Oryzias latipes: one gene and its partners. The protein of the gene in region 1 purifies or fractionates together with the protein of each later gene. This does not show direct contact. Links are inferred from orthologs where the notes say so. Each region holds a gene or a part of one and is shown in the gene's direction. Other genes may lie near its edges.

What was found.
Region 2: the proteins of med21 (region 1) and cdk8 purify together in Homo sapiens (affinity purification with mass spectrometry; 14 studies listed by BioGRID and IntAct, counting the BioPlex papers as one, with this or other methods). This does not show direct contact. The link is inferred for Oryzias latipes from reciprocal best matches to the Homo sapiens genes MED21 and CDK8.
Region 3: the proteins of med21 (region 1) and med9 purify together in Homo sapiens (co-immunoprecipitation; 8 studies listed by BioGRID and IntAct, counting the BioPlex papers as one, with this or other methods). This does not show direct contact. The link is inferred for Oryzias latipes from reciprocal best matches to the Homo sapiens genes MED21 and MED9.
Region 4: the proteins of med21 (region 1) and rpap2 purify together in Homo sapiens (affinity purification with mass spectrometry; 3 studies listed by BioGRID and IntAct, with this or other methods). This does not show direct contact. The link is inferred for Oryzias latipes from reciprocal best matches to the Homo sapiens genes MED21 and RPAP2.
Region 5: the proteins of med21 (region 1) and polr2d purify together in Homo sapiens (affinity purification with mass spectrometry; 4 studies listed by BioGRID and IntAct, with this or other methods). This does not show direct contact. The link is inferred for Oryzias latipes from reciprocal best matches to the Homo sapiens genes MED21 and POLR2D.

What each region holds. Positions count from the first base shown.
Region 1 is NC_019881.2:3,902,004-3,907,497, reverse strand, and holds the end of med21 (mediator of RNA polymerase II transcription subunit 21), read left to right. Parts: intron 1-1,847; coding exon 1,848-1,948; intron 1,949-2,947; coding exon 2,948-3,127; 3' UTR 3,128-3,393; downstream 3,394-5,494. UniProt on the Homo sapiens protein: Component of the Mediator complex, a coactivator involved in the regulated transcription of nearly all RNA polymerase II-dependent genes.
Region 2 is NC_019878.2:17,540,234-17,547,284, reverse strand, and holds the start of cdk8 (cyclin-dependent kinase 8), read left to right. Parts: upstream 1-2,243; 5' UTR 2,244-2,637; coding exon 2,638-2,765; intron 2,766-3,865; coding exon 3,866-3,941; intron 3,942-5,150; coding exon 5,151-5,261; intron 5,262-5,782; coding exon 5,783-5,923; intron 5,924-6,364; coding exon 6,365-6,422; intron 6,423-6,505; coding exon 6,506-6,637; intron 6,638-6,721; coding exon 6,722-6,865; intron 6,866-7,051. Other genes in the region: E3 ubiquitin-protein ligase RNF6, read right to left, coding at 89-230.
Region 3 is NC_019866.2:10,873,427-10,878,858, forward strand, and holds med9 (mediator of RNA polymerase II transcription subunit 9), read left to right. Parts: upstream 1-2,927; 5' UTR 2,928-2,979; coding exon 2,980-3,059; intron 3,060-3,254; coding exon 3,255-3,474; 3' UTR 3,475-3,679; downstream 3,680-5,432. Other genes in the region: rasd1 (dexamethasone-induced Ras-related protein 1), read right to left, coding at 4,574-5,097, 5,207-5,432.
Region 4 is NC_019875.2:5,933,388-5,940,308, forward strand, and holds the start of rpap2 (putative RNA polymerase II subunit B1 CTD phosphatase RPAP2), read left to right. Parts: upstream 1-2,842; 5' UTR 2,843-3,553; coding exon 3,554-3,602; intron 3,603-3,706; coding exon 3,707-3,755; intron 3,756-3,836; coding exon 3,837-3,939; intron 3,940-4,378; coding exon 4,379-4,477; intron 4,478-4,560; coding exon 4,561-4,626; intron 4,627-4,713; coding exon 4,714-4,802; intron 4,803-4,879; coding exon 4,880-4,915; intron 4,916-4,988; coding exon 4,989-5,832; intron 5,833-5,931; coding exon 5,932-6,023; intron 6,024-6,217; coding exon 6,218-6,298; intron 6,299-6,921. Other genes in the region: glmn (glomulin), read right to left, coding at 1,933-1,971.
Region 5 is NC_019878.2:10,412,527-10,419,442, reverse strand, and holds polr2d (DNA-directed RNA polymerase II subunit RPB4), read left to right. Parts: upstream 1-2,119; 5' UTR 2,120-2,255; coding exon 2,256-2,334; intron 2,335-2,867; coding exon 2,868-3,048; intron 3,049-3,119; coding exon 3,120-3,215; intron 3,216-4,128; coding exon 4,129-4,207; 3' UTR 4,208-4,712; downstream 4,713-6,916. UniProt on the Homo sapiens protein: Core component of RNA polymerase II (Pol II), a DNA-dependent RNA polymerase which synthesizes mRNA precursors and many functional non-coding RNAs using the four ribonucleoside triphosphates as substrates.

The sequences.
Region 1 (5,494 bases):
TAAGGTCTACTATAGTGTTAAGTGAGAAGGTCACTAAAGTGTCCCATGCTCTGCCAAACGTTCAAAATGTGTAAAGTAGCGATGCTTTCTAGAGACTGCGCAGAATAGTGACACCTTTCTGTTCAGAAACAGGCGAGGTAGAGCGGCGTGTTGTTGGTGTGGGTTAGGGTCCAGAAAGACTCACTTAATTTACGTTTTTTGCTCAAACATTTGAGCATGAAGGCTGTCGTTACACACAGGGCCTTGCAACAGTATTCACCCCCTTGAATGCTTGTCCCTTTAGTTGCTTTCATAAATCACTCGTGGTCAATAACATTTGTCTTTCCTCACACAAACATTTGCTAGAAAAGAACCTTCAAACAGATTTCTACAAAGTAATATCTAATGAAATATAATTGTTTGCATAATTATTCACCCCCCTTTTAAATGTAATGGTCTAATTCAGTTGAAGTCCATCCAATTAGTCCCAATAGTCTCACAATTAGTGAAATGAAGATCACCCGAGTGGTGTGGTTGTGTCCCAAACCAGCCTATGGAGGGTCCAGGTACTGGTGGAGCGGTATTCCTGGCTACCATTTCCCCGTGAAGACAGAGAAACACTCCAAGCAGCTCAGAGAAAGGGTTGTTGAAAGGTAAAAGTCAGGGGGTGGATACAAAAACATTTCCAAGGCATTGAACATCCCTGGAGTTTAGTGAAATCCATCCAGAAATGGAAGGTATGTGGCACATGTGGGACTCTCCCTAGATCAGGCCGCCCTCATAAACTGAGTGACCGTACAAGGAGGAGCCTTGTGACAGACGCCACCGAGACCCCACCCACCAAGACCCTACGACTAATTTGAAGGAGTTACAAGCTGCTGCTCAGGATGCTGAGACGGTGCATTTAGGGTTCTTTACCGACCAACGCTTTATGGGAGACGGGCAACAAGAAAGCCACAAAGTTCACCAAAAGGCATGTGGAAGACTCCATGACCAGGTGGAAGAAGATACTTTGGTCTGATGAGACCAAAAATTGAGCTTTTTGGCCATCAGACACGACGCAACCCATCCAAAATACACCTTCCCCACTGTGAAGCATGGTGGTGGCAGCATCATGCTGTGGGGATGTTTCTCAGCAGAAGGCGTGTAAAGATGGAGGGCAGAACAAATGCTGCAAAATACACTGAAATCTTTGAGGACAATCTTTATCGGTCTGCAAGAGAACTACGGCTTGGGAGGAGATTTGTTCTCCAGGTAGCAAACGGCAGAAGCTACACAGGAATGGTTTCAAAAGAACCGGGGAAATGTTCTGGAGTGGGCGAGTCAAAGCCCAGACCTAGATCCCATAGAGAATTTGGTGTGAGGAAAGACACATTTTATAGACCAAGGGGGGTTTATGAAAGCGACTAAAGGGACAAACATCCAAGGGAGGGAATACTTTTGCAAAAGACTGTAAGAGAAGTTATTGTTTCCTAATAATACTATGGAATGTCTAAAAGTAGTAATCCAAAGACTTCACTCAATGTAGGAGTAAACAAATAAGTAACTGTTCAGATAAGTGTCGTAATTTATGGAATTATTACCATATACTGATGATTTTCTAATACGACTGTCCATATTTAAAAATAAATGATACAAATTTGACGAAACATAAATGGTGACTAATGAGATACATACTTTGTTACTGAGTAACTGTCCAGACTTTAAGAAAAAAAAGAAAATCTGACTTTCATAAATAAAACTGCACAAATTTCTTAAGTGTGTGAGAGGAATCCTCTATTCAGTGAAAGCTGAAGCGTTAAAATACCAGAAATAACGTAACATTACCTTCTCTACAGTGACTTTTCTTCCTCTTTTTTTATTTTTAGAATACGCTCAGCTGTTTGCGGCTCTCATAGCCAGAACCGCCAAAGATGTGGACGTTCTCATCGACTCTCTGCCCAGCGAGGAGTCCACGGCGGCTCTGCAGGTCAGCATGGTCACGCACCCACACTTCCTCACTGAGCCACAAACTCCAGGAACCACCAGCAGCAAGTCAGGGGGAAAAGTTTGGAGCGTTTACAGCTTCCAGACAGCAGAGGGAGCCAGAGCAAAATCTGGAAAGGTTCCTGCTGTCAGTAGATGAAATCAACCGGCTCCTATCAATTAGACTGATCAAAGTCATTCTCATGGTAAATGATACAGCTGCATAGACTCAAGATTGCTACTATAAAATATCGACTCACTGGGACAAGTTTTTACTGAGAATTCTGTTCTTAGACTAGACTTGGCATGCTCTCTTATACGCTTTTCCTTCTTTTTAGGTATTAAAGTACATAAAAACATTTCTTCAGACATGTTGACACATCTATAAGGAGAAGTCTTTGTTTAATAGTTTTTCTATGGTCTGATGACAGAGCACACATCCCCTTGTGCTGTCTTTTGGGGTCTAGATGACCCAACTCCCAATGTTAGGCACGTTAACATTGGGAGTTGGGTCATCTAGACCCACTAGACAGTGCGCTGAACCTTTTTTCTTCAATGATTTGTGATCTTCACTGGTGTCCATGGATTACATGAAATCTTTCCACCTTTATCCACCTTTGTCATGGTAGGGAGAACACGCCAATGTAAGTAAAGTAAAATAACTCTTTATTTATATAGCACTTTTCACAGAGAGCGACTCACAAAGTGCTTCACAATGTTAAAACAATATAAAATCAGTAGCAATACCCAATAAAACACACACAGGCATAGAAGTAAACAAACAGGCAGAAGTGAACACAAGTAAAAGTCAGCTAAAAGCTCTCCTGAATAAAATTGTCTTAACTTGAGCTTTAAAACACTCAATTGAGTCAATCTGGCGCAGAGTCAATGTAAGGGCGGGGTCATCTGGACCCCACAAGATAGCACAAGGGTAACACTGGATCAGCATGAAGTCTGTTGTAAATATGTGTTTTTCTGAATGGACCATGTGACCCGTCGCCAGGCAGCCAGTCTGCGGCAGCTGGAGGAGGAGAACCACGAGGCGGCCGCTCGTCTGGAGGAGGTGGTTTTCCGCGGCGACATGCTGTTGAAGAGGATCCAGCACGCGCTGGCAGACATCGCCCAGTCTCAGCTGCGCACTCGCAGCGGAGCGAATGGCCAGCCGTCGCCGGCCGAGTCCTGACTGGGTCGGATTGAAGGGTTTTCCCTGCATGGAGGACTGGGAAGGAACGATGGAAAACAGGGGTGAAAATAGGAGTGACAGGATACGGAATGAAACCCTCAAAGTCTCGCTTTGCTGTCAGACCTACATTTCAACTTGCAAACCCCTGCTTTTGTATGTTTTGTCAGTTTTCTTTTGTATATTTATAACAGTGTGTGTTGTTTTTTTATTTGTGGTTTGTCACGAGGGTAAAGTCTTTAATAAAAAAACTCATTTAATTTGGTTAATCTGGTGTTTAAAGTCCCACTAATCTTTTGATCTACTTCAAAGTGTTCCTAGTGGTCTTTTAATTATGATAATGCTGTTTTAGCCAAAATAAAATGAAAAAACTGTCTCGTTTTCAAGGACATAGTTTCTCCAGAGTGGCAGGAGTTCATTAGAAATTCACCTTTGAGCCGTTGGATGGACTGTTGGAGTGGAGCAACCCCCCCTCTTCCCGTCACCCACCTGTTTACACTCTCCCCCGCTAGCCTACAACCTAGCATTAGCGGTGACGATTAGCGGCGAGCAACATCGTAGCTGTCCAGCCGTGCAGCTTAGACCCAGATTCCAGCTCAGACGAGGAAAACAAGGTCGTTCATGGATCCGTTCAACTGAGTCCATCAGAATGGAGCGGAGCTGGGAGCTTGTGGCCCCGCCCAGCTTCTTTTCTACGTCACGAGTTTTATAAAGAAACACTAATTTTCTAAATGCACGTTCTCCATCATGAGAAAAAAGCCTCACGAAGATGTTAAAAACACCGTTTTGATCTGAGTGGCAGCACTTCTTCATTTTAACCACACACGCCTCCGTCTCCTTATATCACAGCCCATCATGAAACGGGTTTGGGCCCGGTGCGTGTCTCTGCAGGTGGGCCGCTTCAGCTGTGGCCTGGGGGTTCAGTTTGTGGTCAGGACGAGGCAGCTGCCCTTCATGTCCTTATGAGAGACGAGGCGCCATCGGTTGAGCGAACTCTGGAAGTCCTGGAGGATAAGGAGCCTCAGGACTGGGAGGAGGGGTCCATCAGAAGATCAGCCTGTAAATGTAGAAGATTCCTTTATAGCACTGAGGCCCCCGGGGGCCTCAGTGCTATAAAGGAATCTTCTACATTTACAGGTGCTGTGCTTTCTGCTTTGATCTACAATTTCAAGAATTCAGAAAAGACTAGATTATTTGATCTGTTGATTGGATCTCTTATTAACTTTTACAACTCTACAGATAAGGTCAGTCACATCCCCGCTGTCTTGTTGAACAAAAAGAAGTCAGAGCTTCCCGGAAAAGAAAAAGAAAAGAAAAATCAGGAAATTAATTCCGACTTTGTTCCCTTCTTAGCATTCTGTCATCGCAGAAGCACATAATCAGGATTGTCCTGTAACCATGTTACCACAAGACTTTCAAAATAAAACGTACGGCGAAAAAACAACCTGAACCCTCCGAGCTCAAAGTAATCATGTAAATCAACCCGATTCTGAGCTTAATGGAACTGATCAAATGGAACACTACACAACCTTGAGATGCTTTATATGGAGACGCTCCTTGGTTGCCATGGTGACGTGTTTGGGATCATTGTTACAGTGGAGCACGTAGGCTCAACGTTGTGGAAGGAAGGAGGTTTTTGCCCAAAATCTCTCCATTCATGAATCCATTCATCCTTTCCTTCTGTGGATCAGTCGTTCTGTGTCCTTTGCAGGAAAACAGCCCCAAACCATGATGTTTACACCCCCATGCTTCACAGTGAGTCTAACGCTCTTGGGATGGCACTCGGCATTCTTCTAACTACAGAGTGACGTTCGTGCCAAAGAGTGTTCCATTTCGGTTTCTGATCACACGACCTTCTCCCTATCCTCCTGTGGATCATCCAGAAGGTCTCTGGAGAACTTGAGGCGGTTCTGGACTTGTGCTGGTTTAAGCAGGAGGACCTTCAAAGAACTACGGGATCTGAATCCATGATAACATAGTGTGTTACTACAGTAACCTTTGTTAGCTCTTTCCGGGCCATTGACCAGTTCCCAAGTGTAGTTGTGGGCTGTTTTCCTCACCGATCATTGGTTCTCCACCAGGTGAGATCTTTGCTGGAGCTCCAGGTGGAGGGAAATTGTCAGTAATCTTGTATTTCTTCCATTTTCTAGTATTTGCTCCAGCAGTTGATTCCTTCTCATCAAGCCGTTTTCTAATTGCAGATTAGTTCATTCCAGTCTTGTTCAGGCCTACAATCTGGTCCTCTTTGGTCTTGGTAGAGGGGTTGCAGTGTGACTGCTTAAGGGTTTGGACAGGTGTCTTTAAACAGACGACGAATTCAAATAGGTGATATCAATACAGGAGGATGGGAGAGCGTCTTAAAGAAGAAGT
Region 2 (7,051 bases), on another chromosome or scaffold:
ACACTGTCATAAAAATTACATTGAAAGATCACAGCATGCAACTCAACTGACAACCCAGAGTCCATGTAATGTGTATGCCAATCCTCACCAGGGGTGCCCAGCAGGTTACCATCTCTCATGAGGCGGTACTCGTCTTCACTCAATTCATTTATGAAGTGATAATATGCTTCCTCCCGTCGAAGACGCTCTGCCTGCCTCTGCCGTTCATCTCCCCCACTGGGAGGGTCCATAACAAAGAAGAGTGCTGGAAGGCCCATGTGGAAGGGTGTCAGAGAAATGGACACGGTGAAGCAACATTTCACTTCAGTTCACAAAAATGTGGAACATTTATTCTAATGAAGTTAGACATGCTTCCAATCAGACAACATTAGTTCGTGACCATCAGTCTATATTCTTCTGTTTTATTCTTGTCTAAACAAATTTTAATTATACTTTATAATTTTACTGTTTTGTGGCCATACTATCCTAACTGTGATTCTTGTCAATGCTTTTCTAAAAGGTCTTTTTTGTGCATAAAATAAACTTGCCTCTCTAATACTTGTTATAATTTCTACTTAATTTACAAGAGTATTCAAGGTTCAACACTAATAGCAAAATCATTTGTGTATAGGACTAAGCAATATGGACAGCACAGTAGTATTAACATTTGTGGAAAAAAGGTATAGTCATATATGTTCTGCTGTAAAGGCCCAGCTATAATTTGCATAAATCACTGATCAAATGCCTGTGAGCGAGTATACATAAATAATAACCATGAATAGTATCCCCAAAAGGCCATGTCCAAATCATGTTGTTCAGCTGACTCTTAACCAATCACCGCCCCTGTTTGGTTTTAGTGGCAGGTCAAGTAACCAATCACCGTGCGACAGAGGCGGAAAATGAAACCTATTAAACGGAGATCTACTCCATGTAAACGCAGGACAAGGAAGGAAACACAAAGTCGTGAACAGCACTAAACAATAAAACGATTAAGATATTATACTGGGAATACACGTACGACAACACTTTAACGAGGCTGTTTGTTCTATATTTACTTCAAGACGCTACAATGTTGATTTAAACAAGCAACGCGTCAACTGCTAACTAGCATGCTAGTGATATAACGTCAGCTAGTAGTAGCAGCACTGAAGTCGACAGCCGTTTAGCTGAGAGGCAAAACCTCATAACGCACCACATATGCTGTTACAACAAGTTCGCCGGATATTGCACATATGATCTATCTTTATAGATAAATGGAAACCACATTAGGAAGTAGTGTCAGTAACATTTGCTTTAGAGAAGTACCTGACAAAGCAGCTGTAATGGAAGGTTCTCTCCGCTTTCCCCTTTCTCTCCGACCAAGATGGGACCAGCGGTGCTACATGACTCTGCTCGCCGGAAACAAAATTCCTTAACCCTTAGTTCCTACAAACACAGCTTTTTGTTTATTTCTTTGTTTGTTTGTAATCTTTTTTTAAGTTCCTTGTGATATTATTGACTGGTAAATTTGCTTCTAACATTGATTAAAAGATTAAACATGTTTTTTTTTCTTTTAGTCTACTGTATGCACCAACTGACATCCTTCGTCAGCAGCAAACTAAATGCTGTCTTTTTATTTTTATTTTTAGAATTAATATGCAAAATACAACAAAAATTGAGATTAAATAGAACAATTATGTTGAAAAAAACGGGGATGGCGTATGCATTACAAAACATACATTATAATATAGTAAAAATATTATATATATATATTATATAATTATATATTATATATAAAAATATATTAAAAGACAGACAACTTTCAAATATATTTTTTTTTGTTGTTGCTACTGTTAGAAATTGTACTCCAGTCAATCAAAAAATGTGTATGCATACAGGGAGACATTAGATTAACGAGGATAATTCTAGGTATTGTATTCTTTTTTTTGCTTGTTTGTTTAAATAGAAAATTGTGACTTCTCATGGCATTTCGGTGTGTATGTAAATAGCCTTATTTATGTACCATTTCACGTTTTTTCTCTTATAGAGGTTTTATGTATTTAAATACTTGTTTTCTTTTATGTTTGTTTTTAGGATTTATCAATAATTACTTTTAAAGATTACTATTTGTTGAACTGTAAAAACTAAACACTGGCAAGTGACTGCATAATAAAAGAAAGAATATCTGAAAAACCTTCCTCGGCTTTATTTGTTTGTTGTTCACCCACGTACTGATTTATTTATTTATTTATTTAAGTGCGAATATCCACGTGGTTGTGTATCTCTGCCATTCTCCTTTCTCTGCTGCAGGGGCTGTCTTTACGACACTTTGCGACAATGGCTGGCACGATTACGCCGTGGCTACAGACTGAATTGCGTCTCTTTGGAGAAGATACCGGCTGAGAGAAACGCAGAAACAACAGAAAGGAAATTGTAAAATCGGGCCTTTTTCAGCACGGATAATTGCCAATCTCCGCGCTTACCCATCGGAAGGTTATTTTCGAGCCCAAACCTCGATGTGGAAGCTGAGCTGAAGAAAGAAAGGGACCCGCTGGGAAGGCAACTAGCTGAAATAACCAAAAACCGAGCTCGTTGAGTCAAGGAGCCTAGTTGCCTCCCTAGCGACGCTTTAAAAAGAAAGGAAGAAACGCAGACATTCAGCCTCTGAAGTGGTGAAAAATGGACTATGACTTTAAACTGAAGCTGACCGGTGAACGAGAGCGCGTCGAGGACCTGTTTGAGTACGAAGGATGCAAAGTGGGAAGAGGCACCTACGGTCATGTGTACAAGGCGAAGAGAAAAGATGGGTGAGTTGATGACCAACAAGGCCTCCAGCCGCTGAACCCTGCGCCAGCCCCCTCCCGCTCCATTTAAACCACTTTAGTTTGCCCCCTTTCGCGGTGGAGGAAGCGTGCTGCAGACAAAAACAGCAATAGCAGAGTGTTAAAAAGCCCACACTAGGATGCTGAGGAAGCTTTGTGTAGCAGCACTACTAGCTTAAATGAGGAGTGACATTTTCTCTCATGGATGGGAGGCTAATTTAGCAGGAATATATTTGCAACCATTGCATGCAGCTTTGTGGTTGGTTCTGTGTGAGCATCATTAAATTGTATTAGTTAAGGTTAGATCTAATTAAATTGATATTGTACTTATTGTGGTTCTCAGGTCTTGTTTATCATAATCCACACACATTTAATTATGAATTTGATTATGATTTTCCAGTGGAAATAAAGGTTTATTGGCAGTATAGATGTGTCTGAGATCAGTTTTTTAAACTAATATTTAGACAGGAAATTAAGCTTCAATAATAATTATTTTTTAGGGGACATATTTTTTCTAGTAGTGACACTGGGATTTGTTATTTATGTTGTTAATGTTAAAGCAACACTTGAGCTTTTAAAGTGCAACTTTCCGATGTGGTCCCTAGCTTTATCTGGCCCTAACCTGGGTTAAAGCAGCAACTTCCTGGCCCACACAAGGCGCATTACCCTAAAGGAGAAAATCTGGACAGCAGAACCATAGAAAGAAGCTTTGAGATGTTTGTGTTACTGTTGTTTATGAGACACCGTGGGCTGCAGAATCTTTCCAACTACAAAGTGTGGATTTATAAGATAATTTAGGCCAAGAGGAGGAACGATATTCAAGAGTGAGCCAGTCCCAGAGCTCTGTTTGTCCCTCCCAGCTGCCAGAAACCGCCTGTTTCCTCTCCCCCTTTATTGTTTAGAGCCTCAGAGGTGAGCTTGATTACACAAATCTGGAGGTAATGCAGCTCAGCCTCTTCACCAGCTCCCCACACCAGCTGCCAAGTGCCCCCCTCCCGTCCTTTATTTTTGTTTTCTGTGCATAGAGCTTTCTGGGGGCCTGCTGTCTGGCCTGGTGTTGATGTGCTGGATTTTTCTGTTTTTAGGAAGGATGATAAAGACTACGCCCTCAAGCAGATAGAAGGCACTGGCATCTCCATGTCAGCCTGCAGAGAGATTGCAGTAAGGGCTTTTTCCCACTGGTTAATACATTTATGCCATTCTTTTCATTTAGAATATTTTTGTTTTAACCACTCATTAAATGAAACCAAAATTGGTTTATTGCATTTATTCATTTGTAAAATAAGTTCATAATCATCCTAAACTTTAAATAAGACAAATTAAGATATTTCATTGAAAGGACATTTGTGTTTATTGGATTAAAATGTTTCAAAATGCACTACAATATGTCCTTAGTGTGACATCTGACCATATTAGCAGCTTTCTGTCCCTTGAATCCTTTTACGTCTAAACTTAAAGGGATAGAACACCAAAATGTTTTTTTTTCTTGTGATTTAAATAAAGATTAGCTGTTTTCAACAAGGACAAAGAAAATGAAGCAGGCTTTGCATAAAATGCTTGTTTAGCTCGCTCCACCCCATCTCAAAAAGCCATTTGTGACTTTTAACATTACATTTAGCAGCTAGTTACCCATCATTCTTCCTGTACATGCTGGATACTGGTGGAATAGTCAGACATGAAAAAGGAAATTATTAATTTAAGTTGAACAAAACCCCTTAAAGATCATTTACTCGCTGCTTACCAGCACTGAAAATCATATTTGTGTTCAAAAATCGAAAGTCTGGGTTGGCATTCTCTCACTTTGGTTGTTGCCAGATTATTTATTTATCGTCTTTGCAGGTCAGAGGCTTGTTCAAGTACCGAAAGAACTGTTCTAGAAGCACCAAGCTCAGGGAATGTTTGGCAACTACATTTTTTTTCTGAGGCCATAGTAATTGCTGAAGATCACCTCAAACATGCAATACTTTCTGCCTGGTAGTTTTATTGTCTAAAATTGCAACCAGAGAGTGCTGGGATTAACAAACGCACAGCTCCTGCCTGCAGTTTATCACAGCCATGCTGACTCTGACTTTACTCCATAAACAGGCTCCCATCTGTCAAATCTATCAGAATATTTCTTGGTCGTCAGGTAAACAAAAGCTGGAAGGTGTTTGGAATATTTTATGTATGTTTGTGGCGCGTTCAAAATGTTTTGAACTTACAGGCTAACTCAAACACTTTATAGGCATTCATTAATTGTAAGGTTTATCTGCTTTTGGTAGATCGTGCAGGTAATACCTGATTTTCGTTTTATTTTCGGAAATGTTTCTGGTCTGTGTGTTTTTGTCGTTCCTGATTTATGCCATGGAGCTGAAGGGTTTTATGTTGCAGCTGCTGCGGGAGCTGAAGCACCCCAATGTCATCTCCCTGCAGAAGGTTTTCCTGTCACACGCGGACCGTAAAGTATGGCTGCTCTTTGACTATGCGGAGCATGATCTCTGGGTAAAATGGAAACACACACTGGAACTGCACTACTCATCAATCACACTACTGCTGTGCGAGGGGAGAGCCAATACGATGTTTTTCTACTTTAACTTTTTTCACAAGTAACAAATCCCCACCTATGCTCAACGATATGTTACATAAATTACACTGCACGTCAGTACTTTGAAGATTTTTCTCTACACGCGGGAATGCGCCCCTTTGATGCTTCACACTTCAGAAAGAAAAAAACAACAACACTCCAGTCTGTTGGTGTCATGAGAAGAATTACTTTGCTTTTTGGTAGTTAAACCCTTTTCCATTTAAGTAAGCAGTTACGACTGGCAGAGAATGTAAGTGAAATACCTTTTACTGCCGCAGAGCTGCAACACTTGCATTCCCCCTCCACAGAAGTGGAAACACATGCTTAAACCATATTGCCTGTAGAACACACATGTCAGTGTGTGGATCTGTAGAAAAGAGTCCATTTTGGTAAATGTGCTCATTCATGGTACAGCTGCTGTTTTCTTGTCTTCCCGTAGCACATTATAAAGTTTCACAGAGCATCCAAGGCCAACAAGAAGCCGCTTCAGCTTCCCAGAGGAATGGTGAAGTCTCTGCTCTACCAGATTCTGGATGGCATCCATTACCTCCATGCCAACTGGGTCCTACACAGAGACCTTGTAAGAGGATTGGGGTTTAGGAGGGTGAAGGTTTTTTAGCTAAAATAGAAAGAAAAAAACCAAAGTAAAGAAAAAAAAATGGATTAAATGTAAAAACAGCGTGGGTTTAGTGCAAATTACCACTTATCCTTTAAAATGCTAAATAGTGCTGACCTTCTTTAACTGATATAGGCTTCTTTTCATATAATATTTCTCCTTTTGTTTTTCTCAGAAAATATAGCACCTGAGCTTAATTTACAAAAAAAGCTAATACAGCTTATGAAGTTTTGATTTTGTCCACTAGAGGGCAGCAACAAATAGTTTTTGTTTAATGCATTTACTTTTACAGTGAAAGTCAAGTTCACAAATTGGACTAAACAACAACAAAAAAGAGACAGTTGCTGTTGCTTATCTTGTTCAAATTTTACTGTAACTTATTGTTTTTTTTATTGCCCTATTTAGAAACCTGCTAATATTTTAGTGATGGGAGAAGGGCCTGAGAGGGGCAGAGTAAAGATCGGTATGCATCACTGGACATTTACAAATTGCCTACAATGGTTAAGACTTCCTTTTAATTTTACTCAAAACATGCCTGTTGTGCAGCCGATATGGGGTTTGCTCGTCTTTTCAATTCACCGCTGAAGCCTTTAGCCGACCTGGACCCCGTGGTAGTCACTTTCTGGTACAGAGCACCTGAACTGCTGCTGGGAGCCCGGCACTACACCAAAGCCATCGGTGAGATAGTCTTCTCTAAAGCTTTGTGACCGTTTTAGGCGAAACCATGAATCATGGATCCATTTGTTCCCTTTTTTCTGCTAGACATTTGGGCAATTGGCTGCATTTTCGCGGAGCTGCTGACATCTGAACCCATATTCCACTGTCGCCAGGAGGACATCAAGACTAGCAACCCCTACCACCATGACCAACTGGACCGCATCTTTAATGTCATGGGCTTTCCTGCTGGTAAGATTCAGCTGCGATCAGAATTCATGGGGAAAATATGTTGCATCTGCTTTTTGCCTCTCCAGTATAGAAATAACGTTTAAAAACTTTACCTCCATCTTTGAAATTTTTTTATTTATTTGCTTCTGATGTTGCTGACTTCTGAAGTTGGTAATGCAGTCTGTGGGTTGTGAACATCAGCCTTCA
Region 3 (5,432 bases), on another chromosome or scaffold:
AATGTTTTAAGTTATAAGTGATTTAATGGATTAAAGACACAAAGAGGATTCAAAACGCTGTTTCAAATTAGTTTTGCAGGTCAGCAACAGAAAATGACTGTTTTGGAAAGAATCCTTTAAGATTTTTAAATCATTATCTGCTGGCTTCAAACATTTAAACTAACAGAGAATATAAGGCAACAATGATTGAAAATGAAGTAAAAAATGTACAATTTCTAACTTTTCTATAAGATAGACAAATAATGTTTCTGAAAACTTCACAAACAAACTAAAAAAAAAATGGAGATTCACATTCAGGGGAAATGTATTTTGTCTGATATAAATTAGTTTTGCAAGATTAAGTTAAAGTGGTATCTTTTTTTCAAGCCTAATGTTTGGAAATACAGCCAGCTTGTTTGGAAAAAAATAGTGTCAGACCGATATAAGTGTGCTATGATTAGCCAACAGATCAGCAGACAGGGCATCTGCATCCCACCAGCTTTCCACCAAGGATGCTAGGATGTGACCCATCTGTTGGAAACTGTCAGCTGTCTTCTTTACGTCATTGCAGAGAGCGGGCGGGGTAAACCTAACCATTTGGGGGGTGTTATGGAGAAGTTCAAAAGGAAGTGTTCGGATATGACCCAGCCAAAGAGTCGCACTAGAACTCTCTTGGCAGTCGTTGCATTTTCTACTGAGTTTATGGAAGAAGTTTTCCAGGAAAAGGCAAGTAGTTCATCTTTGTCCATAAAAGGGAAATTCTGTGGGCTAAATTTTGAACCAGCAATGGTCAAAGCGTTGTTTTTATTAATAAAAATTGTAAAATGATCCACAATTCAACAAAGAATTATCCCTCAAAATCTGATGTGTTTTCATTATTAGGTTATATTTTATTTTTTTAAATTAAGGAAAATCTAAAAAAGTGTAAAGTGAAACTATCCTTTTATATGTTGCCAAATGTATTCAACTTTTCACATATTTTGCAATGTAAAAAGAAGAAAAACACACCTATTTCAATATATCTGCAACTAATTAAACAAAAACAAAACATTTCAACAGGATTTTGAAGAAAAAAAACTATTTTTTTTATTTAAATCCTTGCTGCAATTTTAGTTTTAAAAGTCATATTTGACTGCAAGGGAGACAATCCCAGCTACTGCAACGGCATTTACTGTATGTCGCTCTAAAAGTGATTTCTGCAAATCCTGGCTAATGTTCAAAACTGGATTTAAATTATTACTAAATCTAAAAATAATTATGCAAGCTCCTTCGCTGCCTCAAAAGTGAGGTTCAGCTCATCAGCATATAAAAACAGCGATATTCTCTTTTCAAATTGGTTTGATATGTGTGATGCAATGACCAGATCCGTCAAAATGATCCAAGATTTGATAGTTTACACTGTGATAGTTTACATTGTAAAATGCTCTGAAAACGTCAATTTGAGGTTACTAATATATTCTGTTTAGTTTGTGCAAAACCTCCCAATCAAGTCGAAATGGAAATCCTTACTTTTACAGTCAGTGGCGCCACTCATTTAGATATCCATTCTTTGTCACACCTCTGGGTAAAAGCCTCACACTTAATTTAATGCTCACTGCCTGTGTCACGTTGGCATTCTATCTTCTCCAGGGGAGACTGAGTTTTTCCCTTTCTGTGTTCACCAGGTGTGAGTAATGAACTCATGGGATGTTCGCTGCATCAAGAGGTCAAACTTGATTTCATGTGAAATGGATGTAAACATGAGTTATTTGGGCTAAAAAGAATACATTTAAAAATAAAACACATAATTCAACATCAAACAGGAGAATCGTCATTGCTACACATGCATAATCGTGTAGTCACTTGTACTAACAAAGAATTGAGCAAATTAGCCATTTTAATTCTCCGTGTTGCCTAATGTATTGCCAAACAGGGCTTTAGAAAATAACCAGGAAGTAAGCTTTTCATTATTTTGTTTTATTTTCTACATACTAAATATTGTATCCCCAATCAACAAGGACGCACTGTGTAAACAGAAAAGGAAAAAGGGTTTCCAGACAGAGATGCACGACCTGAATGAAACACTTCATTTATCTTCCAAACAGACAAATTGCGTGACGCACCGTGAGACTATATTTGTGCTTGCTATGAGCTCTAGTGTTTACACAGCTCCCCATTTTTCAGTTCTCAAGCATGTCTTGTGTTGACTTTCGATGTCAGTACTTCAGGTTACCAAGTAGCAAGACGTGTAGCCAAGGTCATTCCAAGTCCTAGGTCATGTGTTTATTATGTGCATTGACAAATGGTCTGTGACCTCCATCCATCCATCCATCCATCTTACTCTGCTTTACCGGGACTGGGTCACGGGGGCAGTCTAAGCAAAGATGCCCAGACTTCCCTCGCCCCTGCTACTTCCTCCAGCTCTTCTGGGAGGGACCCCAAGGTGTTCCCAGGCCAGCCGAGAGACGTAGTTTCTCCAGCGTGTCCTGGGTCTTCCCCGGGGCCTCCGCATAGTGGGACATGCCCGCAACACCTCCCCAGAGAGGCGTACAGGAGGCACCCGGACTTGATGCCCGAGCAACCTTGGAATAGGTCTGGGACCTATTCTGAGCAAAATGATGACATGCCACGAGAATTGCAAGGGCTTTATCAGAAAGAAATCAGTCCCAAATCTTTTAGATCTTTTTTCTTGTGTTTGAAATTTATTACAGCAAATTTTTCTTTGTTATTTCTTGTTTTGTGTCAAGACTTTTTAATAGTTTGGGAATCATACCATGACTTATATGACTTACCATCTCAAGGTAATCATTTTTTTCATACTTTTGATAACTAGAGTATTCATTCATTCATTCATTCATTCATTTATTCATTCAATCAATCATTCACTCATTCATCTATAATCATTGTTGTTGTTGTTGTTGTTCAACATCAATTGAACTTTTTTAAAGTTGTGATTTCAGTTGAGATTCTCGGAGTAACCTGTGACGTCATCAGCCTGCGCCAGTTGCAGAAGGAGTAGCAATGGCGGTAGCTCAGGCTAAGCTCGTGAAGGAGACCGAAGACTGCTCTTTGCTGCCCTTAGTTCACGACATTATCAAATGGTAAGCTGTTTCCTGTGTGCTGGGTTTACGTATATGTTGGTATTTACTAAATGGTTCACGGTAAACTCTCGTTGGGGGTATTTACGGTTTGCTATATGAGAAGTGACGTGAACGCTTCCCATCATGGGTGCAGTTTTGCCTTTAATAGAAGTCTGTTATTTATGTATTTATTTATTTATTTATGTTTCTGCTTAGCATGGATAAGGACAGCCCGGATGTCAACCAGGAGCTGACAAAACTAAAAACAAAGATCCAAGAAACCCGGGAGCAGATCTCTAACATGTCTGGGATAGACTGCAGTCCGCCGGAGCAGCAGCAGCAGCTGGCCACGCTGCGGGAGCAGGTCCGCACCAAGAACCAGCTGCTGCAGAAGTACAAGGGACTGTGCATGTTTGATGTGCCTAAGGCGTCGTGAGACAACAGACTACAAACTGGAGACTTGAGCAAAGACGTTTATTTCTACGGTTTACCATTTAAAAAAAAACCTGAAATGAAAAATGGGACTTTTGTTTTTCTTTTTTGTTTGCATCAGTGTGAATGATCTGCTCTGTTTCTGAAGTATCTGTTATTATTTCAAGTTGTAAATCTCTATTTTTAATAAATTAAATCGTGCTATAGTGTTTTACTTGTTTTCATTATTATTATTATTATTATTATTATTAATAATAAATGTATAAGGGCTTTGATGCTTTATTGAGCAGACCATTTAGTCTGAATCTAAAAGGTTTTTAAATAAAGGAAAGCATTTGCCACGGCACACACTTTCACATAACTTTATGTAGTTCCTTTTCACAACATGCAAAGTAAATCTAATTTAATGTGAATCAGCATTTTTCTCTAAACAAAGTTTGATTTTAATCATAAATGATATTGTCTCTAATGGGCCAAATATTACATCTGTTGATATCTACTAAATAGCCTCTAATTATATGTGCTGCACTGCCTCCTAGTCTAATTGTTTTCCTTCTCTGTTATTGTGCCATGGTTATCATTTGTGCAAACAATGGAGTCCTAATGAATAATTATTCAGGCTGTTAGCTCTTTTTATATATAAGTCCATTTAATTTCAGAATGTCTCAATAAATGATGTGTTATAAACATGTATTTTCATTCGAACAGCAGAATGAAAACGTATATATAATTCTTAAAGTGTTTGTTTTATGCGAGAAATTGGAGAGTGGGACTGAGAACAGACTATGAAAGTATCAAGTTTTTTATTTTTTATTTTCTCTTTATGCAAAAGTGGACAAGGACATAATAAATATACACATGGAGTTCATTTGTTCATTCTGCAGCAAACATTCAAGTTTGAAAAAAAGGCAACATGTAAACTTGGTTTTCACCTTCTAGTGCTGCGCATAGAAAGCAAAATGTAGAAACAGATTTACAGCATTTTCAGAGCATCGATTTCACTACATGTCTTGGCTCATATTGGACAAGAGTGCCTAAAGTTTGTCGCAGACGCGCTGCGCATAGTCACATGGGGACAAAGTTTTTTGCGCTCGTAGAAATGGTCAGCAAATTACGCAGCCCTTTTCTTTGGCGTGGCCGCCGCCGATGGCTTTCTCCTTTATGTACATCAAGTCACTGTGCACGCTTGGTCTTCGTGCGAACGGTGCCACAATCCCATATGCGTTCCCATCTTTGCACTTCTTGCTTCTGAAAGACTTTCTGTGGAGAACGTCGCAGTACTGCAGGGAAACTTTGCAGTGCCGATCAGGACTCATTTCGTTTGGCAGCTTGGCCATGGTAAAGAGAGTCTGAAACATCTGGTCGACGTTGGTGTTCTTCTTCGCTGAGATTTCAAAGTATGCGCACTGTTCATCTCCACCAACCAGCTGCTCAATCTCCTCGTCCTGCACCTCCCGGTAAAAGTCTCTGTCGCACTTGTTGCCGCAGATGACCAGCGGGACGTCCACGTTCTCCTTAGTTTTGTTTCGCAGGCATGACTTGGTCTCGTGGATTTGGCGCTTCAGGCGCTGCACCTCTTGAAAGGAATCTCTGTTGTCCAGGCTGAACACTAAGATGAAAACATCACCTGGAAGAACAGAGGAAACGTGCGTTTTAGAGCTGAACAAAACCAGTGTTGCCGGGAAATATTTCCTCTATCCTAGAAGCATAATGTGCAAGTTTCAAGCTGAACTCACCAGTGAGAATTGAAAGCCTCCTCATTGCAGGGAAGGGGTGGTTTCCAGATGTGTCCAGGATGTCCAACTGGTAAACGTCCCCTCTAATGCTGTAAAATTTCCGGTGGAAATCTTCAATGGTGGGTGTGTATTGGTCATCAAATCTCTCATTCAGAAACCGAGAGATGATGGCTGTCTTCCCAACTTTAGTGGAGCCCAGGATCACCATCCTGTGACAATTCTTGGC
Region 4 (6,921 bases), on another chromosome or scaffold:
TCCATAAACACGGATGTGAGTAATAGTTGGATTCACAGCAGATACTTTCACATTTCTGTCTGCGCGTGTCTCATTACATTGAAGACTCAGAGGATGTTTAGAGATCAGATTTATTTATTTTAAAAAGCTCTACAAAAGCATCATACTCGTTAGCAGTCACTTTACATCCGAAGGCTAGTAGGCTACATGTATCCCATCATGCATCACTGTTAAGAATAATGAGAAACAGAATAGTTAGAAACTCCCTTTTACTTTTTATTACACTAACTTTTACTTTTATTACACTAATGGTTTAAACTTGATTCATTATGTATTATCATCTCAAAATTATATTACATTTGAAGACAGCACAGCCAAGCTATTTTTCTCACAGTTTCTTCTCATACTCCCTTTTTCTGTGTGTGTGTGTGATGCCTCAGAGATAACTCCATTGCAACCTTGGAGCTTCTTTCCAGCAGCAACCTGTGGGCGTGATTTTCACACCATTGTCCAGTGTATGATCTTCTGAATATGCAAATACAGGGTTTATATACCAAGCCCATCTCTGAGCTCCGTTGTTCAGACTTTGGATGCACCATGTTCATCTGTCTGTCCCTTTCGTGTTTGTACGAAGTAAAACTTCCACAAAAGATAAGTAACTGTCTCTGAGTCATTATTCATTCATTTCTGTGTGCAGGAAATTGAAGGGTACGAACCTAATTTAACTATTTTACAGTCCTGTTTACAATTTCCAGTTTCCTCACATTTGGTCCTTTGAGCACGATTGGTTACGTAGCACGTAGCCTACTAGCCTTCAGATTTAAAGCGACTGCTAAAGTGTGTTAATAACAGACCAGTCCTGCATGTTATTATTTCTATTCGACCCTAAACTACAATATCCCATACAGCAGCTGGCTGGCCGGTAGATGGCCAGTCAGCTGCCCGAATGCCGCCATGACAAGCAGAAGAGCTCTGCTGCGGATTTAGGAGCTATGTCTGGTAGGTGAAGCAGGAAGCTTTGGCATCCAAAATCTTATGATATTTTTCTGATTTTCATCGAGACAATAATAGATGGATCATTCTTGTTTTTTTTCCCCTCTTAAACGAATGTAGGTCACAGAGACACAGAAGTAGCAGCAGAAAGCGGCTTTTGCAGCTGGATGGACGGAGAGTGTACCACCAGGATGTGAATGAACGTGATTACCAATGCTTTTGTGCTTTTCAAAATAAACAAAACTGATCTCTAAACATCCTCCGTGTCCTCAATGCGATGTAAGACACACACAGACAGAAATGTGAAGGTATCTGCTGTCAATCCAACTATTGTTCACATCCGTGTTTATGAAGCTAAGTCCGGTAGGCGAAGCAGGAACCCGTGTTTATGAATGACTTATGACGTAAATAATTCTTTCGTTCGCACAAATTAATTAATTCGTGCGAACAGAATATTATTTTGTGGGAACAATATATTAACTTGTGGGAACGAGATACATTTTATTTGATTCATGTCAGGACACGGACTCCGTATCATGTAAAACATGAATGCTGCTGATGTTGTCTTACAGTTGCATAACATCCAGCAGGTTTCTTCTGTGTGTCTCACAGAAAGAGGCTGAACAAAAATCTAAAAATGTGTCCAAAAAGTTCCAGTGTTATGACGGATCTGGACTTGACTCTTGGAGATGAGATTCCTTCACTCCAAACGTGTCCTCAAATGATGAAAGGTACAGAACACAAGAATATGGCCCATGTGAGACGATCGATCCGAATTCTCAGGAACTCTTTCCTAAACGGTCACACAGGTTTGCTCATATTAAATCTGCAGCTGCTCCTTTCCTCCAGAAGATGCTGACACAGAAAGGACACAGGCTTTAACTTTGAACCTTCTGTCCTGGCTGCTCATGGGATATTTCAAGAAAACAAAACCATAAAATAAAGAAAGTGGACACTCACACACAGCTGGACCACATTGCTGAATCGCTCCAGAGCCATCAGTCCCGTTTGGACAGAGTCTGTCCTTCCTGGAAGTCCTTCAAAAACAACAGTTCAGATCAGAGTGTCCTGATGATGATGATGATGATGATGATGTTTTTCTATGTCTGTACTGATGACTTACTGTCACCATCTGTGCTGGAAGCAAAGTAGAAACCATGGAGATCATACAGAGAAGTGTGTCTAGATCAGGGGAGGGCAAACCTTTTGACCGGGGGGGCCACAAAGAGGTCAACGATGTGACAGCGAGAACCAGGAGCAGATGGGAGGAGTCATTTCATCATCCAAGAAATAACAAGGAATTTGGATGAAAACATGCTTGAACTTTGAAAAAGGAATATGCATATTTGAAAACAGAACGTTTGAGTTTTTTTTTTTGTTTTTTTTTATTTTGGTGCCATTTCCACATATGATGTCCCTCAGCGAAAAAACACAAACTCAGAGAAACGCTGCGTTCATGTGGTGCTGGAATGTTCGGAAAAATGCCTTCCTGACTTGGAAAATGCACAAATCCTCCAGCACCACACCAATGCAGAATAACTTTCCACACCTAAAAGTGCAGAATCTATAGGGAGACACCAGAACTACAGGGAAATGAAAACAATCCTGAGGGTTATCAATATCACTTATTCCAGTTTGGAGGGTCAGATTTAATAGTTCAGTAGTTTGCTGACTCCTGGTCTAGACTGTAGGCTCCATAGATCATCGATGTTGCAGGTCTTTCAGTTATGAAGTTCTAGTTTTATACCAGCAGTAAACATTCATCTACTTCCATTACATTAAGAATGTACCAATTCTGCTGACCAAACTGTGCTTTCTCTGATTTGACTGTTTAAAGTTTAAAACGTTTGAATCATTCTGCAGTTCAAAATTTTAACATTTACAAAGAACACGTTTTTTGTGAGATATTACTTATTCAGACAAGAAGAGAGAGATTCGCTTCGTGAAACTGTAGTCTAGAGGTGTCATGTTACAACATAAACCTACAAACATGTCACGTCTGTTAAGGAAATTAAACAAACGTTTGCCTTTGAAGGACGTAACGACGTGAGCAAAACCATGAAGTTCCTCTGCAGAGTGCAGCCTGCACACAGAAACAGCCTGAAAACGTCCATCCTCTATAAACTCAATTACCCAAAACTCTGTGCGGTGGGACATCAGGGTTTAACTAATGAGGAGGGCTGTTGGATTGGCATTCCTACAAAGAATAGCTCCTCCAATGAGAGAGAGAAGACAGCCAGCTGAGAGAACAGAACGGCGACCATGACTGCAGCTGATGTTTGAGTTCAGAACCGGCGCGGCACCGCCTCGGTCCACACACTACAGAACCGGGGCGGCACCGCCTCGGCCCTCACAGAAGCAGGCCGGCATTGGTTAGCTCGTTCTCGGACTGCTGTCTCGGGTTTTCGTGAACAAACGTTCGCATTAAACTCCTCTTGGAAGCAGAAAACGAACAGACGCGCGGAAAGTGAGAACCTACCTTCTCTCCTGCTGTTGCACGCGACCTGAACGCTGCGTGTTTGAACCACCCCGGCTGCCGTAGAAAAACTGCGTCACAGGTCAAAGTTGAACTGGAAGTGTCATGGCGACGGAGGGGAAGATGAAGAATCCCGGGAAAACGTCCAGAAAAGGTTTGGTTTGAGTAGTTTGGACGGACGTGTTTGGTATTTTATTAGCAGATGAACTGAACTGGGCTCCGTCTATGTCCTGGTGAAATCTCGTGTTTGTGTGACAGCAGGGAGACGCAGCAAAACTCTGACCGCCGAAGAAGAAGCCAGAAGAAGGTTTGGAAGGCTTTCTTCTCAGGTTTATGATCCAGTGTAGGCAGCGCAGTTTGAATGAATCCGTCTCCTTCCCTGAGCCAGGAAGGATGCGCTGAGGGAGCAGCTGGAGCTGGAGAGGAGAGCCCTGGAGGTGGTGGAGCAGCTCCTGGAGAGCAGCGTGGCAGAAGACTTCCTCCTGGAGTCGGTATGAACATCTCCATCTTTAGATAACACCTTCACTTTGATCTGGGTTGCGAGGGAAACCAGCTGAAAAGGCCACGCCCACAAACATTACCAGGTTTCCAGACCACAAACCATCAAACACTGCAAACTACAGCAGAAAGACACAAAACAACTTAAAGATGTAACAGACAGATAGTTGTTAAATTCAACTTAATCCTTTTAGGTTTTTTTTTTTGTATAATTCTTGAAAATTCTGTCTAATGATACATTTATTAAAGATCTTTATAAGGAAATAATTGTTTCAAGTAATTGATAAAATGCACAGAAAGAAAATGAATTTTGCACAAGCTAATGGGGAAAACTTTGAGGTAGAAATTTACAAGAAAACACTAATAAAGAGGTCAACCTGTTGTCAGTCAGGTTAAGAAGGGTTTTAACACACAGGCTCATTTTCTGTTCAGGCCAAGTTCATCACTCCAGCTAATTACAGAGATGCTGTGGAGGAGCGGTCCATCTTAAAGCTGTGTGGTTATCCAACATGTCCAAAGCAGCTGGGCAAAGTAAGACGTCGCCCCTCCACTGAGGGTAATGCTGACGCTCCTGTCTGGGTTTCCTCGTCTAACCGCTGCTGCCTGCTTTGCAGATCCCGTCTCAGCAGTTCAAAATCTCTACCAAGACGAACAGAGTTTATGACATCACAGAGCGCAAGGTGAGTTTCTTCCCAGAAGAAGAACGAACTTTGTCAGTGCAGTCGCAGTTTGAAGACAGAAGAGGTGACCTCATTTGTCATCTTTAGCGTTTCTGCAGTAATTTCTGCTACAAGGCCTCCAAAGAGTTTGAGCTGCAGATCCCAAAGACGCCTCTGTGGCTCAGGAAGTTGGAGAGGTCTGTGAACTGCTCCGCCTTTGTAAGACTCGACGTTCGGGTGGAGTGTCTTTGTAAAAATTCTCTCTTGCCAACAGTCCCCCGAAGATCAGGCTGCTGACGGCAGGACAGAGGTGTGTGCTCGGCGCCCGCGGCCGCACGTCCCTCTGCAGGAGTGAGCGTAACGTGTTGCATGTGTGTGTCCAGTGGGAGCTCCGGAGAGGAGGTGCTGCTGTCAGATCAGCGCCTCAAAGAGGAAGACGTTGAGAAACCACAAGCTGCCGCCCCCGCTGAGCCATGCGGGGATCATCAAAGCTCGGCTGGAGATGAGAGCAGCGGTGGGGAGCAGGACTTTGTCTCCAGTGTGGCCTTCCAGCAGCAGAAACCCCGGGTTCACTGGGCTGACCGCACGGGTGAAAGCAAGAACGGGAGCCAAGGAGAGGAGGGGACGGACGGGACTGAATGTCTGAGTCGCCTTCCACAGGAGGACACGAGGGGGCCGCATCCTGAACCCCCACAGCTGCTCGGTCCCATCACAAGCAAGGCTGAGCCACAGGACTCACCTGAGCGCCCCCAACTGGAAGAGGTAACAGCTCAGATGAGGGAGTGCACTCTTCATGAGACAGCAGCAGCCCCCCTGCCGGGCCTCCACATCACCCAGGTGGGCATGAGCAGGCGAGGAGCTGCAGGGCTGCGGGCTCTGCTGGGGAGGCAGAGCTGCACGGGAGCCAAACGGGAGCCAGCGAGCCTCCTGGAGACCCTGAGGAGGACTCTGAAAGCCTGGTGCACCGATCACACCATCAGGTTCCTGCACGGAGCCGCCTGCTCACCTGCCCCCCGTCATCATAACAGAAAGGAAGAGGGGGAGTTGGATGAAGATGATGATGCAGATGACGTGATATTGACGGACGATAGCGGGGAGAAGAAGCTGTGGGGGACAGAAGGAGACTATGAGACGCTGCAGAGGCTGACCCAACAGATGGAGCTGAGAGTCAAGGAGTTCTACAAGGGGACCTGGGTTATTCCTGTGGAGGAGCCGAGTGCTAACCAGGTGAGGGGGGGGGGTCCCTGTGGACCTCCCATCAGACCTCTGTTCAGTCAAATAAAATGCTGAGAGCAAGTTGAAATAGTCCTGGTTTGTTCTTCACAGCAGAACCTGAAGGAACCGGTCCTGCCGCTCGTGGACTCCCAGGCTCAGCATCTGATCCAGAAACGCATCACCGTGGAGAAGCTCAGCAGCTGGTGCGTGCAGATGTGTCAGACATGAACGTCTTCATCTAAACCTCTGCCTCCCCCAAACATCTTCTGTTTCACAGGAGTCCAGACTCCTGTGACGTTTGATCATATTATATTTATTATAGAAGTCCGGACATTTGTCCAGCCGCCTGCCTGCCTGCTGCTTTGCTCCATAACCAATCTGCTCCTGTCATCTGCAGCCTCAGGACCATCGTAGGCCCGCTGCACCTCACCCTGAGTGATGTCTCCACAGACCTGAACGACTTGGTGAAGACATTCAGGTGGGTGACCTGCACATATGCACCGTTCTCGTCCATTCCAGATCATCCTGCGCGCTGCAGCCTTCCATTCCTGCTCCCCATCATCATGAGACTTGAGGAGGCCCGAGTCCTGCATGAACGTCCCACAGAGCAGCACCGACCCTACTCATTATCCTCAAAGAATAAGAGAAAGCCCAGGAGAGCGTCGTGGTTTCCATGTGGTTGGCTCAGACATATCAGTTAGAGACCTCCAGGGGGGGCTGAAGAACCACAGGTTGACGGGAGCCCCCCAAACCTTTACACCAGGGGTGTCAAACATACGGCCCGCGGGCCATATTCGGCCCGCCAGGTGGTTTAGTCTGGCCCACATGATGAGCAAAAATCTTAAGCATGTTTAAAAAAGAAAGCACGTGTCTAGTCCATTCCTGTGGCGAGTTATGATTTTTTTAAAGAAATAACCGAAATGCGCAATTCTGCCATTAGGGGGGGGGAGGAAAAGCAAAACAGGTGAAACATATGTTTGCGCATGCCAAAGGTGAAACCTAACAGTTCTTCTTCTGGGTAAGATGCAGTTTGTTTCCCTGCGAGCCTCAAAGCTGTTGTGTTGCTATAAGAATGAACAGTAGTGACACAATAATGACCAA
Region 5 (6,916 bases), on another chromosome or scaffold:
ACAAAAATGAATAAATGCAAAGCACTATCAAATTTTCCTACAGGTTAAAATAGGACTTTGTGGCTTTGAGTAGATTTTGATAAGTAATGAACAGGCTCAAATGGCTCTTTTGGTTGCAGACTCCTGTTTTAGGGTAATCTGTATAAAAGGCTTACAGGCTTCTTGACATCATGGGTGGCTGCAGAGAGGGTCCACCAGAAACATAAGAGGAGAAGCTAAAAAAGCTTCAAAGTGGCTCATGAAGAGGAGCCATGACATAACATGCTGCTTAGATAGAAAATGGGGACTGATCACCACTGGTTGGGTCGACTGAGTAAGGGGCCGGGAAGAAGAAATACCCGAAACATCCTTTGAGTTATTCACTGAGGATGCAATTAAATTGCAACTTTTCAAGGTCTTTCAATGTTCTTTCAATATTTGTTGCTGAGGAACAATGACGTTATTAAAACTTATTGAAGTTTTGTACAAATAATTTAGCATTTTACAAACGAGCTTTGTTAGAGTAATAACATAAAGAATGAAACACAAGTGAATTAAATGCAACATTTTTCCAAAGGGCCCACTGAAGAACAACTGTGTCTGGAATTTACAAAGACATATCTTCCATGCCCCCATAGTCCTGAGCAGGACTACGGGGGCATGGAGTCCATTCCAGTTACTTCAGGGCATAAACAACATAACTCTAAGCACTTTACTAGACCATCAGAAGTCTATTCAAACTTCTTAAGGGACAATTTTAGAGTAGAGTACCTAATTTACCAATAAAACATGCTTTGAACCCCTTCAGGAACCTGAAGGTCTTGGAAAAAACAATGGACACACAAAATGTAAAAACCTCACACACATTCCAACCCTACCGTTCTGAAATTTGAATCACCACGCCACCTGGTGGAGTTGCAGGAGATTACAAAAGGTGAGAAAATAATAGTTGCTACAGATTCATTCTCAAGTTTACAGAGTTTCAGAAGTGTTTGCTACCAGTGTAGCTGTGAAAAAAAACGTGTGGCAACTTCAGGTGGAGTATAAAGACTAAAGTAAGACTAAATAAATAAATAAATAAAGTAAGACTAAATAAAGTCTGCATATGACCTTATGACCTGCAAGGAGCAGGTAGAGAAGCATCTAGAGAGGAATAAAGACCAGTCACAGCAAGATAATGTACCTACATGGAAATACAAGAAGCAATTGAAACTGTTGAAAACTAATAATGCGGATAAAGAACATTTTTAGTTATAAAATAAAGGTTTGTATTTTAAAGGTCACATGGTTAAAAAAAATACAAATTTTATATGATATAAATAACACTGACAAACATATCAGTAAGAAATTCAAAAGAGAGGGGAAAAGATGAATAAAGTTAAAATGAATATCAGGGACCAAAAATCTCAGCAGGTCTATGCTATGGCGAGCTCACATGGTCTTTTATTATTGAACACTACAAATGTTAAGTTAGGAACCTGTAAACATAAATGTAAAACAGTTAGAACATTTAGAACAAAAAATGAGATAGATCATCAAATAAAGACACAAGAAAGCAAAACAAAGACAGAGTCAACTAAAAAACACCTAAATATGAAGAGTTTTGATATAATTTAATGCCTTTAAAAAAGTTGAAACATTTTCTTGCTTTTTTACTTTTCATGAATTAAACAAATCTACTTAAGAAACACATTAAACAGTGGTTTGGTTTTTAATAATTTACTTTTATGAATATAAAATTTGCTTTTGATTGTTAAAATATTTTAAACTAAATTTAACAGACTGTTATGTGAAATTACACCAAAAAGAATGTTGTTCTTTTTTAATGAGACTTGAACAGAGGAATTTGAACACCACAAATGAAACTCATCCCCAAAAAGATTCAAAGTACATGCAATCAACAAGCAATTTCAACACAAAAATACAATTGTTTTCTTTAAATCTTTAACTTTAACATTTATTTACAAGGAAATAAATTATTTATTACAAGGGCATATATGACTGAACAGTTCTATCGTTGTGTTTGAGGGGAGTTCCTACACTTCATCTTCCAGGACAGTAGGTAGCAGAAGCGCACCATTATTGCTAGATGACACCCGCCTAAACCAGAAGAAAGCAGAGGAAGAATATCACCGGAAGTAGATCGGTGTTGTGACCGGAAGTTCCCCGAGCGCCGTTGTTCTCTGCACAGTTAACGTTCTCACCGTAGTCTCCGAGAGAAGCTGACGGAGCTCATCGGTACTGCGCGCCTCTGCGACCCGTGACTGTGACTCGACATGACTGCCGCTGGAAGCTCGGTTTCCTCGCACGTGGGAGACGTCGAAGAAGACGCGTCACAGTTGCTGTTTCCCAAAGGTGGCGCGCACAAATACTGTTTACTTCCGAAACTTTTTGTTAGGTTACAGTGTAACCTGTATTGGAAACAATTACGTTGCTATATGTGACCGATGAGGATAATCATCCCCTGATTATTAATTTATGTAAGCTGCATCACCGATTTGAATCTGAATATTTTCATTATACGACCATCATCATCTGTACTGGTTAAATGTTTCTCTCACTGACACACATGTATTGTGATCATCATGATGTTTGGTCCACTGATCAAGATAGAATTATTTGTTTGTTTGCTGAGAGTAAACTATAAGTTTAAATTTACATGGATTGCTGTCCTGGAAGGTCTGAGACTCAACAAGCTTCCTAAAATAGTACAGGCTGACTTTGATCAGCAGGATTTTTGTCCTACTTCTTGAAACAGGCCTTAAATTCCAGTCCACAATCACTGCAGGAATCCTTCTGTCTTTCAATCAAAATGGTTCTGGAGCTGATATTCTGTAGAATCTGAGCTCAAATTCAGTGACTAACCAGCCCCCTCCTGCTGTCTGCAGAGTTTGAGAACTCTGAGACGCTGCTGAACTCGGAGGTCCACATGCTGCTGGAGCACAGGAAGCAGCAGAACGAGAGCGCCGAGGACGAACAGGAGTTGTCCGAGGTCTTCATGAAGACTCTCAACTACACGGCCCGCTTCAGCCGCTTCAAGAACCGCGAGACCATCACTGCCGTGCGCAGGTAAGGATGCCCCTTCTGGTCCCAGGTCCTGGCCCTGATCTGGGTCCTAATGGCCTTTCTGTCTGTCTCAGTCTCCTCCTGCAGAAGAAGCTCCATAAATTTGAGCTGGCCAGTTTGGCGAATCTGTGTCCTGAAGCTGCAGAGGAGGCTAAAGCTCTGACCCCCAGGTGAGTCTGGACTGAACCGGACTTGTTCTTTTCACCCATAAATTACAGGGTCTTCGTTAACCAATCTGTGAAAAGATTCACCTGACATCAGATTATTCTGAACACCTTAGTGATTTTAGGATTTTTGGGAGGCTTGACTTTTTATTTTATTTTAACACTTTCAGTAAATTGAGTAAAAGTATAAGTTAGTCTGGATGCCAAGGAGATTTATTTAGTAATGTCGAAGTAACACTATTTTACATTAAGGGCAGACGTGTGCAGCTTTAATTGAATTAATTCAAAGAGAAAACCTGAGAGATTATCCTAAACTGGATCAGAAAACATTTTGGATCAATTCATCACAGACATGTAGTTTTATGCTGTTCTTACTTGTCAGGAATTGGTTTCTTGTTGAAATTATTATGCATTAAAAAATAGCAGATAAGTTATTTTAGATTGTTTAGTGATCATTATTTTTGTGAAAATATACAGTGGTGGACAAAATTGTTGGTACCCATCAGTTATAGAAACAAATTCCAGAATTCTCACTAAAATGACTTGAAATGTTCAAAAGTAACAATAAATTAAAATTTAATGAAAATGAAATAATCAAAATCAGCTTTTTAATTTGTTGATTGACAGAATTATTTAAAAAAAAAAAAAAGCTAATGAAATAGGGTTGGCCAAAAATGATGGTACCTCCATAACAGACTGAGAACTAATTGCCCAGGGGGTCATGATGAACTCAGGTATGTCCTTAAATTGACATCATAGCTGTCTTCAAACTCATAATCAGTCAGTCTGTCAACAATTTTGTCCACCACTGTATCTTACTGAGATATGGATCGTTTTGCAGGTGATGTTGTTACAATTCTTATCAAATAATTCATCGTTGAGAGAATAAAGTTCTGCCGGGTTCTGCTTCTTTTCTCAGTCTGGAGGGTCGCTTTGAGGATGAAGAGCTGCAACAGATCCTGGATGACATTCAGACCAAGAGGAGCTTCCAGTACTAAGACCAGGACCAGCAGCTGGACCTGAGACCTCCAGAACTCTCCTTAACAGAGGCAGCGTGGTTCACGTTCCACCGGGACCAGAAAAATCACAGAACATTTAATCCACCCACCACCCAGCAGAATCTTGATGTACTTTAAAGGCACACAAGATGCTGTTTGTGTGTCTGATTCTATCCGGTCTGTGGAAAATCCAGCACATGTTGATAAGAAAACTGTATCTGTGCTCTGCTCCTTCGGGTACCTATGGGCAGAAACTCAAATCCATCATCAGTGAGCTTATCCCGAACACCGCCCACTCGTACTGCCAGCTCAGACCTGCAAGACCACCTTCGAGTCAGAGTCCACGCAAAATTGATTCCCAACAGAACCTTCTTGTCCCAGGAGAACCCCTTTTAGTGCTTTTGTGTGGTTGTCTGTCCAAACCGCTTATTAGGAGCGGAACAGGGAACTGGATTTATTGTGTTGATTGAAAATAAAAATTTAAAAAAACTACACCAAGGAACAACCAAGCAAAGTTTGTAAAGCTCTTTTAACAAAAAGAATCACAAAGTGAGAAGGAGAGCCGGTGGACCATAGGGACAGAGGCAGGGAGGGATCTCATCAAATCTTCCAATCTTTATTACAGCTAAAGGGTAGGTAGGTGGTGAAACAGGAAAAGATGCAGCAAATGAATCACAGGTGCTGTCATTCCCTTCTCCACCAAGGATTCCTAGATGGATTGCTGTCCATTAAAAAAAAAAAGTTATATACACAATATAAATTAAAAAATGTAAAGACGTGATATAGCATCAGTATTAGCATTGGCCCCAGGGACACAGCAGGGAGAGAATTGGGGGGTACATTTTAAACTGTTCTTCTGAACACTCACTACGGTCCATGACTCATCTAAGTGGGGTTCGAACCAACATTTTCAGAGGAATAAGACTTGAATGCCATCAGTAACTGAAGCTTTACCATTGGAACAATAAAGTTAAATTTGAAATAAAAAAACGGCCAGCATTGGGTAAGACTAACTACAACATTGTTTCCTCTTGTTTGAAGAAGTAATTTCAAAAATGCGTTTTTAATTATTTATATTTACATTACAAAATAAAATTCCAACGTTTAAGTTATGTCCTATTTGCCAGCTGTCGAGCTAATGCTGTTTTCACAGTGTTCACTAAAGTCTTATTTTGGTAATGTTTGGCTCATCGATGAAGGAGAGATTTTTGATGTTTACTGACTACTGACTTCTAAAAGATCGCGATGCACAAGCGTGATGCCTAAAAAGACATTTGTCAGAAGTGGGATTCGAACCCACGCCTCCAGAGGAGACTGCGACCTGAACGCAGCGCCTTAGACCGCTCGGCCATCCTGACATCTTGTTTACGCACCAACATTTCTGTATAAAGAACATCTCCAAAAAAATCTAGGGTCGGAGGAAGTTACTTATTAGAGCCTCTAGACCAGGTGTCTCAAACTCGCGGCCTGCGGGCTATTTGCGGCCCCCAAGATGATATTTTGCGGCCCCCACCTTAATATGAACGTTTAATTTTAGTTTTCTTTTTTTAACTTTAGCCTCCTCTGGGCATATTTATTAACCATTGACTGAGCACGGAACAGGAACGTCTCTCTCGTACATTTTTTTTTATACTTTATTGACAAACAACACAATACAATAACATTGTGAATGTTTCAGGGGAAATTGCAATGTGTACATATTACAGAAAATATAAGAAATAAAACAAAAAGTATATAAATATATAAACATACATATACAACATAAGACAAAAAGAATAATTACTTCAAAAATCTTTGGGGTTTAATAAATTTAAAATTTTTCAAAAATTAAATTAGTTCGAATTGCTTTTTGGTTTTGCAGATGTTTGACAATGGTACAATACTGATTGATTTCACTCAAAAACTGCTGGAATTTAGGTTTGGAGTTTGACCATTTGGCTTTATGGATATGAAATTTTGCCAATAATAAAAACAATTGTGTAATGAAGATACAATCTTCGTCTACTTTGACATTAAGGTAACCCAGAACAATGTCTTTATCTAAAAATGTAACAGTTTGTGTAGTTATATTTCCAATATAGTTTCCCACTTCAATCCAAAACATACTTGTATGTTTGCATTCCGCAAACAGATGATAAATAGTTTCCTCCTGAGTTCCACAGAATGAACAAGACAGGTCCATATCCTCAACAAATCTACTCAAAGTTTTTTTGGTAGGATATATACCATGCAATATTTTGAAGGAAACCTCTTTTATTTTGTTATTTAGACAGTATTTATTACTAATAGTCCAAGCATATGTCCAGTTTATGTCCACAAATTTGGACTCCCAATAAAATTTCCAAGCAGGTAAGGTTGTAGTATGTAAAAGATTTCTTATTTGCTTATTGGAAACTGAATTAACACAAATATCCACATTGTCCAAAATAATTGTCTGGGTTCTTAATTGACTTGTGTTATAAATCCCTTTAAACAGTTGAAGTAGACTGGTTGGAATGGCATCTAACACTATGGCATATTCTCTGGGTGGAACAGGAATACCGAATTTTAAAAGAAATTCTTCATACGTCAGAAGATGCCCATGAGGATTGAAAAGTTGTCTGATTAAAACAATATCATTATCATACCATCTAGGAAAAAAAAGTGATTTATTCTTGTATTGTACATTACTGTTATTCCAAATAAAACAAGTTGTTGGAGAAAAATTAT